2 linked regions of the Danio rerio genome follow. The protein of the gene in region 1 interacts with the protein of each later gene in a biochemical or structural test. Links are inferred from orthologs where the notes say so. Each region holds a gene or a part of one and is shown in the gene's direction. Other genes may lie near its edges. The genes, in order: atrip and topbp1.

Region 1 (4,394 bases):
TTCACCGACACGAGACCCTAACATGAAATGCAGACAAAATATATGCATATTATGGCCACAAGTGGACTCATTCATTCCCACAATTTACTAATATATCTGCACGTTTTACTCATTTGTTTCAAGTGATCTCTACTAAACTGTGGGCATGTTGTAATAATTACTTTAAAAAACCTAAATAAAACAACAACAAAAACACTCGACATGCAACATGCTCGTACAACATGCACGAATTGTGCGAGATAAAAAAGTATGTTTTCATAGATACATTAGCAAAGATGCTAAATATCTGTAGACACACTACTGAACAAAGCTGCAGATAGTATTGTTTACCTTAGCACACTGTAGCCTATAAATATTTTTTATGTCTATATAAATTAAGGTAAGGCAGCTATATTTAGCACACTTATTACAGTTTGTAACATGCTAACTTAGCTCATATTTGTTAACTGCAAAGGTTTTGTCGTATAAAAAAGATCTGCTTGTTGTGATCACATAAAAATGTACACAATCATTTGTTCTCGTCAATAAATCGTAATAGTTGAAATAATAATAGTTCCAACTTAAAACAGCAGCAACAAAAACACTCCGTAGTTACATGCACACATTGTGTGAGATAAAAAAGTATGTTGTTCATAGCGAAGATGCTAAATCTGACACAATAGCTGTAGACAAATCTTTAAAGCAGCAAACAGATTTCACCTTTTATTAGTTTATTTCTGTAGCCTAACAATGTTATGAAGTCTAACTATATCATTTTTACATCTTTTGTTAAAAATAAAGCCTTTCGCAGCTATTTAGCGCAATTATTACAATTGGTTATAACCTGCATGCTAACTTAGCTCATAATAACTGCAAAAGTTTTGTCGTATATGGTGTAATCACATAAAAATGTACCTGCTGATTTTTAGTGATGATTTTGCTTAAAATGTATCAAAAATATCACTAAACACTATTTATTTTGTGTGTGCACCTTGTAAATATATTTTTAATCTTACTCATACTACTCTGCGTCAGTGTTTTGTTGTGAACTCATATTTTTCCATTTAAACTAAAATAATACAATCTTGAAGCCTTGCGATATGTTTACTACAGGTACGAGTATGTATAAGCTAAATGGTGAAGAAAACGTTTAACAAGCCCAAACTTTTATAAACACATCTTGTTGAACATGTTTAGACAACTTCCAAATCACGGCTTTGTGCAAGTTTTCTGAATCAAAATGAATGGTTCAAAACGCATTTTGTCGCAAGAGTGTCTCCGTAATACGTGCGCTACTCCTTTGACGAATCAGAGCTCACCGCTACACACTATGGCAGTGGTTTAGCCAATCAGGTGATGTTTTACTACCGCGTACGCTTTCGTCTGGCCGCATGGACACTCCTCCTCGCTTGAATGAATACCGAACCTTCAGAAATGCCTCCAACTTTTCCTCTTTTCGGTTATTTGTTTGTTTGGTCAACTACTTTTATGTAAACATTTCAGAATTGCACTTTATCTGGAGTGTTTACTTTTGGTTTGTCATGTCGGTGATTTGACGGGCAGTTGCAGGTTATGCAGGAATCTGAGGAGCGTAAATCAAGCAGGTGACTGATAAACTTGAGCACTTTACTACACCTTTACCATGTTAAAATTGGAGTCTGGAAGAGCATTGTGTGTTAGTTTGTTAGTCCGGTAGTAATGTACACTTTATAGGCTGAAAAATAACTGGATTTTTGACCAGTAAGTGAGTGTTATCGTATTAAAATTGTCACATGCTAACTGCTTGATATTAATGAACTGGCACGAACCGTACTGTATGTCAGGGTTTTGCAGTCTTTTATATGTCACGGACATCCAAACCCAAAATGTAAACTACATATTTGTAGTTGCAAAATACATTTATACTGCGAAAACTAGTGTTAGATAATGTGTCTAATGTTTTTTTCTAAATTATTTATTTTCTGCTATAATTTTTTGCAGATTATTAATGAATTCGTTGTCCTGGAACTGTTTTAATTGTTACATTTACAGTTTAAATCAAAAAGCTTGTCTATTTAATTGAAATAATTAGATGGATAGGTTTTTAATAAATATAGAAATGTGTGTTTAAACATTTATTTATATTGTAATACATATAGACATGTTACCCTGGATGTTATGAGGCTAGAATAAAAGCAGTTTTTAATTTTTTAAAAACATTTAAGATCAAAATTATTAGCCCCCTTAAGGTATATATTTTTTCGATAGTTTACAGAACAAACCATCATTATACAATAACTTGCCTAATTACCCTAACCTGCCTGATTAACCTAGTTAAGCCTTTAAATGTCACTTTAAGCTGTATAGAAGTGTCTTGAAAAATATCTAGTAAAATATTATGTGCTGTCATCATGGCAAAGATAAAATGAATCAGCTGTTAGAAATCAGTTATTAAAACTATTATGTTAAGAAATGTGTTAAAGAAAAATCTTCCATTAAACAAAAATAAACAGAGGGGCTAATAATTCAGGGGGTTTAATAATTCTGACTTCAACTGTACATTTATAGTGGTGGTCATGTATAAACAAACATTGTACAGCTTATGCAGTACTATTTATTATAAAACAGGTGAATTTACTAAAGTTTTAATCACTTTAAGACATATTTATCCAAATTTTTCCAAATTTAATGACATTCCATTAGTGACGATCTGTCCCTCATTTGCAAAGACAGTCCTGAGTCATAAGCAGTCACCTGCCAATAGATGTAATATAGACGTGGTGTTTTAGGATGCACAAATGAAAACCGTAGATGACCATAGGCATTTGCAGCTCTGCCCACAATTGAAAAGAAGGCTATCTCACTTGAATTTAAAGCAACAGTCAACAAAATATCACAATTTGGATCGAAGTCTAAAAAGGGCAGTTTAAAAGAATTATTAGTGGGGTATTTTGAGCTGAAATTTAACACGCTCTAGGTCAGGGGTGCCCAAACCCGGTCCTGGAGGGCCGGTGACCTGCATAGTTTAGCTCACACTTCCTTCAACACACCTGCTTGGAAGTTTCCAGTATACGTATAAAGAGCTTGATTAGCTGGTTTAAGTGTGTCTAATTGGGGATAGAACTAAACTCTGCAGGACACTGGACCAGAGTTTAGGCATTCCTGCTCTAGGGGTGTCAGAGACCTATCATCTTGTGAAAAGGGGCATAAACATTTTCTTTACTACACTAATTATTTGCTGAACATTAACAAGGTTTTATTGATTTCCCAGCAGGAGCTCGTTGACATGGACTTTCCCCCGAGCAAGAGACTGAAGGGCCCTCAGGTGAAGACTGGACCCGACCCGTTTGACGATGACATTGATTTCACCCAGGATGATCTGGAGCAGATTGATATTATTGCGTCTCAGGCCATCAGCGCAGACGTCCAGAACAGCGGCTCTAAGAGATCTTTCGACGCTGTGCTCGCTTGCGCTGATGAACCGAGCAAAGCTCCAGTGAGGTCCGGGCGGAAAACATTCGCCCTTGGAGATGCCTGCAGCAGCAGCACTTACAACAACACACACGCTCAAAGGAAAGAGCCTTCTGGTCAGTACTGGATGTTTCTGTTGCACTGTACACAAGTTTTTATATGTCCCATTGGGTTTTTGCAGTTGTTGTTGTTAATTTAAAAAACAAAATTAGAGACAGTTTAAAGAAGCAATTTAACATATTTGTTTGTTGTTTTGTGTCTTGTTAGTGGGCTATTATATATATATATATATATATATATATATATATATATATATATATATATATATATATATATATATATATATATATATATATATATACACACACAGAATTTACATTTCAGCCAGCCAGCCAGCCTCAGCACTTCCAGTGAATTGTCTTTCCGTTATAAAATTGCCATGTTTAAGGTCTGGGTCAGACTGGACAAGAAGCTCAGCATTAAATTACATTTCCTCTCGCCATGTCTTTAAAATATAACAGTTTATTCAACCCCAGAAGTTTCAATGGAGTTTCTGCACTCACCTGCTGACCCTGACAGCGCTAGAGGTTACACAGTCTTTCATCTTGTTTTACACTTAAACAACTCATGCCGAGTTCAGACTGCAAGATTTTAGCCTCGATTTTGACTCGCTGGCAGGTTTTGAGAAATCGCAGACAAATGCCTGAAATCACAGGCAAATCGATGTTCGTTCACGTGAGTAACAATCACAGTGTGAACTATCAGAGACACAGTCTGAGAGAATCGCAGATGAGTCATTGACACCCATGAGATATTTGTCATGGAGCTGTCGGCAATTCAAAATTATGCCAATGAGAGAGCAGAATCTACTAGTATGAGCATCTACAGGCCATCAGGAATGGGGAGAAATCAAAAAGGCTACTTTTCAGTCTATTTTGACCCAAGAAATGTAAGAAAAACAACTC
Region 2 (3,833 bases), on another chromosome or scaffold:
TTATATAACTTGGGTAAAGGAAGGCTTCGTGCTTTTAAATAGTGATATTGCCTGGTGTTATAAAATGTTACTGTGTTAAATATGAATTTCTCAACATATACGGTGTTAAACTGTGGGGTTAAACTCATACAGCTAAATGTCTTTTGGATGGTAATAGAAACATTATGCTTGTATATAAATATAAACTGAAAAATGTTAAATAATAACGCAAAGAATGAATCTAAATAAAAAGATGTTCTTTTTCATTCTTCTTTATAGTCTGTAAAGTCTGTTTAGTATCACATTTGACAGCCATTCAGCAGTATATAAAACCAGATGCAGCAATTCCCAAACCTAGAACCTTTATCTAAATAAATCAGTGTTTTCTCTAGGATTTTTGTCCAGCTGTGGCGGCAGACCTTTTACACAGATCTACCAACTGCCTATGGCGTTATTTCAATAACAAATGTCGTGGGCGCAGTATTACAAGTCGAGATCATATTTATGCAATAGGAGCATGCAAATCTCTTTACTTGCGCACCGATTTTCTCTGTTTGTGCAAAAAAACTTGCACGCTTCCTCAAATAAACGATGCTGAAGTGCGATTTAGTGCGTTTATGTAAGGAATACATCTCCAACATTTATTAGATTTGCAGGAATATTTATGAATGTCTCCAATAAACTTACAGAGCAGCATTAATGGGTCTTGAAGTAAAGTGAAACGGCTATAAACTCCAGCAAGATAAAGTCATTGTATGCAGAACCATAGACCTTTATCTATAAGGTATAATTACGGAAACTGTGTTCATCTTAACTGAAAGCTACGCCGTGTTTGCTGGCCTCACACATCGCGCAGCCCTGTCAGTCAGTCAGCATGTCATTTTAAAGGGTTAAACAAATAACCCACAGCAGAACTAAGATTAGAGAAAAATTTGTGCTGTTATAATTCACTTACCTTATAATACGTTTTGGTGGGATTATAACCCGCTATTAAAAAAAAACAACAACCACGACTGATTGTTTTGAACGTAGCTGTAATGTTAATGTAGCCGTGGTGGGATGAATTTTGGTGTTGCGCCCTGCCATAGAAGAATGAATGTAGCGGAAACCATGCAGGGGTGTGTTTCCCAAAACCATCGTTAGCCAACTAAGGTCGCAAGGTCCGTCGTTACAAACATAGTTTGCTGATTTGCCGTTTCTCAAATCTGTCGCTCCAACGAACATTCGCAAAAACAAATGAAAAATAGCATTAAAGTCATCTCTTTTAGGTGAAATTTGCTTTCAAACAATTTTTACAGTTCAGTTTTAGCGATCTTCATGTTGACAATTGTGCTCCCTTCGCAGTGGACTTTGAAAACATTGATGTCATTTTGAACTCAAAAAGCATACGTTAATTCTTTTAATTTATAGTAGGTTATTTATTAGGTATATGTACTGTAAATGACATGGGCCTGCTGGTTAGAACTTTCTGCAGTGGTTTACAAGTGTAAAATTGTAAAAGTAGACTTAAAAAAATAAATAAACAATATCCTACTTAATAATAATAATGATAATAATAATAATCATCATCAAAATTATTACTTTTATTTTTAAAGTATAATTTTATTTTATTTCTAATTCATAATAATTATTAAATTTAATTTCTTGATAAATCGCCTCATTATTTATTTATTTATATGATTTATTTATGATATTAGAATAGGTGTTAGCTTTTGTAAGTGATTTTATGGTTTAGAATATGATATATTCTCAATAATATTTGTAAGGCAAACATAGGCCCTATATGTGCCATATATTTCAATTAATATGAAAAGCGAGTGCATGTCTTTACAAATCTATTAATGGATTTTATTTTTAATGCATGTTTATTTAAACAGTGTAATTTGCACAAAGAAATGATGGGGCTCTTCTCTAAAGAAGTTGTTACTCAACACAGTTTAGAGAGTCATTATGGCCGGTTTACGTTATACCTCGGCAAACAATCGTCACTACATCGTTCTTTTCCCAAACGATGCATCGTACCTTGATAGTTCAGCTGCAAGTTACGTCGTTGTTTAGGAAATGCACCCCAGGTTGTTTGCCACTTTTTGCTAAAGTTTTACACTAATACCACAAATATGTAAATAATGACTAACACAGGGTTTAGGATTGCACTGTGTAAAATCTAAGAATCATTTAAGTACTTTTAAAGTACTTTTAACCTGGGATTTTACCTAGGATTCTGTTTAAACTAGGTTTAGAATAACTCAGGCTAACTTTAAATTGTCAGAAGCCCTGTAACATATACAGTAGAACTGGAATGCTGTTACATCTGCATGTGCAGTTATGACAAATAATCAGCTTTTATTTTGTTCTTGCAGAGTGAAGTGATGGATCTTATTCAGCTGATGGGTGGACGAGTCTACCGGGATCTCAACGTGTCTGTTACTCACCTGGTGGCAGGTGAAGTTGGGAGTAAAAAATATCTGGTGGCAGCAAGCCTTGGGAAGCCCATCCTGTTACCCAGCTGGGTGAAAGCATGCTGGGAAAAGTCTCAGGACAGGTAACTCTTTACATCATAGTCTTATTTTGTAGTGTTGCAAAATGCATTGTTTATAGCAAAACTTTTTCAGCATTTGGCTGACCAATCTGCTGGCATAATCATAAATAACAGAATAGCGAATAGGTGGTAAACTTGAAAGTACATGTTTGTATTTAGAATCTTATTGAGCAATATTTTATGCTGGGCCTGTAACCATTAGTTTTGGGAAAAAAAACTATTTATTTTCTTAACATTTCTTTTCTATTTCTACATTCTTAATAAAACATTAGTCCAGAAGTGTCACTCATGAATGAGCACATTTTTAAATGGTATTCTTAAAAATTTAAAACAAAAAAAAAGAAATTGTCTTTTCCTTGTGGTCAATATATAAGCTGTTAATTAATTTAATTATTGGAAAAGGTACTTTATCGTTATTAGAATACAAGATGATATGAGATTTTTCACTTCACCTAGACATACAATTAGAGCAAGTTGGACAGTTCTTATTTTTATTTAATATATCTCTCCTCTAGGGCTGCTCGATTATGGGAAAATCATAATCACGATTATTTTGGTCATAATTGTAATCACAATTTTACGGATCAATTCAACCGTTATCAGTTGAAGTCAAAATTATACGCCCTTCTGTGAATTTTTTTATATAGAAATATTTCCCAAATGATGTTTAACAGGAATTTTTCACAGTATTTCCTATAATATTTTTTCTTCTGGAAAAAGGCTTATTTGTTTTATTTCAGCTAGAATTAAAGCAGGTTTAAATATTTTGAAACCTATTCTAATAGCTCAACATTATTAGCCCCTTTAAGCTATATATATATATATATATATATATATATATATATATATATATATATATATATATATATATATATATATATATTACTGTCTGCAGAATAAACTACTGATATACAATGACTTGGCTAATTACTCTTTAAGCTGAATACTAGTATCTTGAAAATTAGGCTATCTAGAAAAATCAGTTATTAGAAATGAGTTTTTAAATCTGTTCTTTAAACTGTGCTTTAAACATCTTCACTGTAAGAAAAAAAACTTTAGCTACAAAAGTCTTAAGTCAAAAGCAGTGAGGGATTTTGTCCTTTTGTTGTTTAATTAATGATAAAACAGTCGGCATCAGGAATATTGCACGCTGTCACTTTAAGAATAGTGCGGCTCTAATACGGTTTCTCTTTCACATGTCTTTTGACTCTCAACTTGTTTGTTTATCACACAAATAAGGGTTAATATTAATAATCACTAAACACTGCACTCAATGTCACAAATGTGCATGTATTTGACCATTAAAGCGCTCGCA

The links.
Region 2: the proteins of atrip (region 1) and topbp1 form a complex in vitro, tested with the Homo sapiens proteins (2 studies listed by BioGRID). The link is inferred for Danio rerio from reciprocal best matches to the Homo sapiens genes ATRIP and TOPBP1.

What each region holds. Positions count from the first base shown.
Region 1 is NC_133197.1:10,190,837-10,195,230, forward strand, and holds the start of atrip (ATR-interacting protein), read left to right. Parts: upstream 1-1,386; 5' UTR 1,387-1,583; intron 1,584-3,229; exon of another isoform or gene 3,230-3,232; 5' UTR 3,233-3,244; coding exon 3,245-3,545; intron 3,546-3,950; coding exon of another isoform or gene 3,951-4,016; intron 4,017-4,394. UniProt on the Homo sapiens protein: Required for checkpoint signaling after DNA damage. Required for ATR expression, possibly by stabilizing the protein.
Region 2 is NC_133199.1:10,053,814-10,057,646, forward strand, and holds part of topbp1 (DNA topoisomerase 2-binding protein 1), read left to right. Parts: intron 1-2,339; coding exon 2,340-2,521; intron 2,522-3,833. UniProt on the Homo sapiens protein: Scaffold protein that acts as a key protein-protein adapter in DNA replication and DNA repair. Composed of multiple BRCT domains, which specifically recognize and bind phosphorylated proteins, bringing proteins together into functional combinations.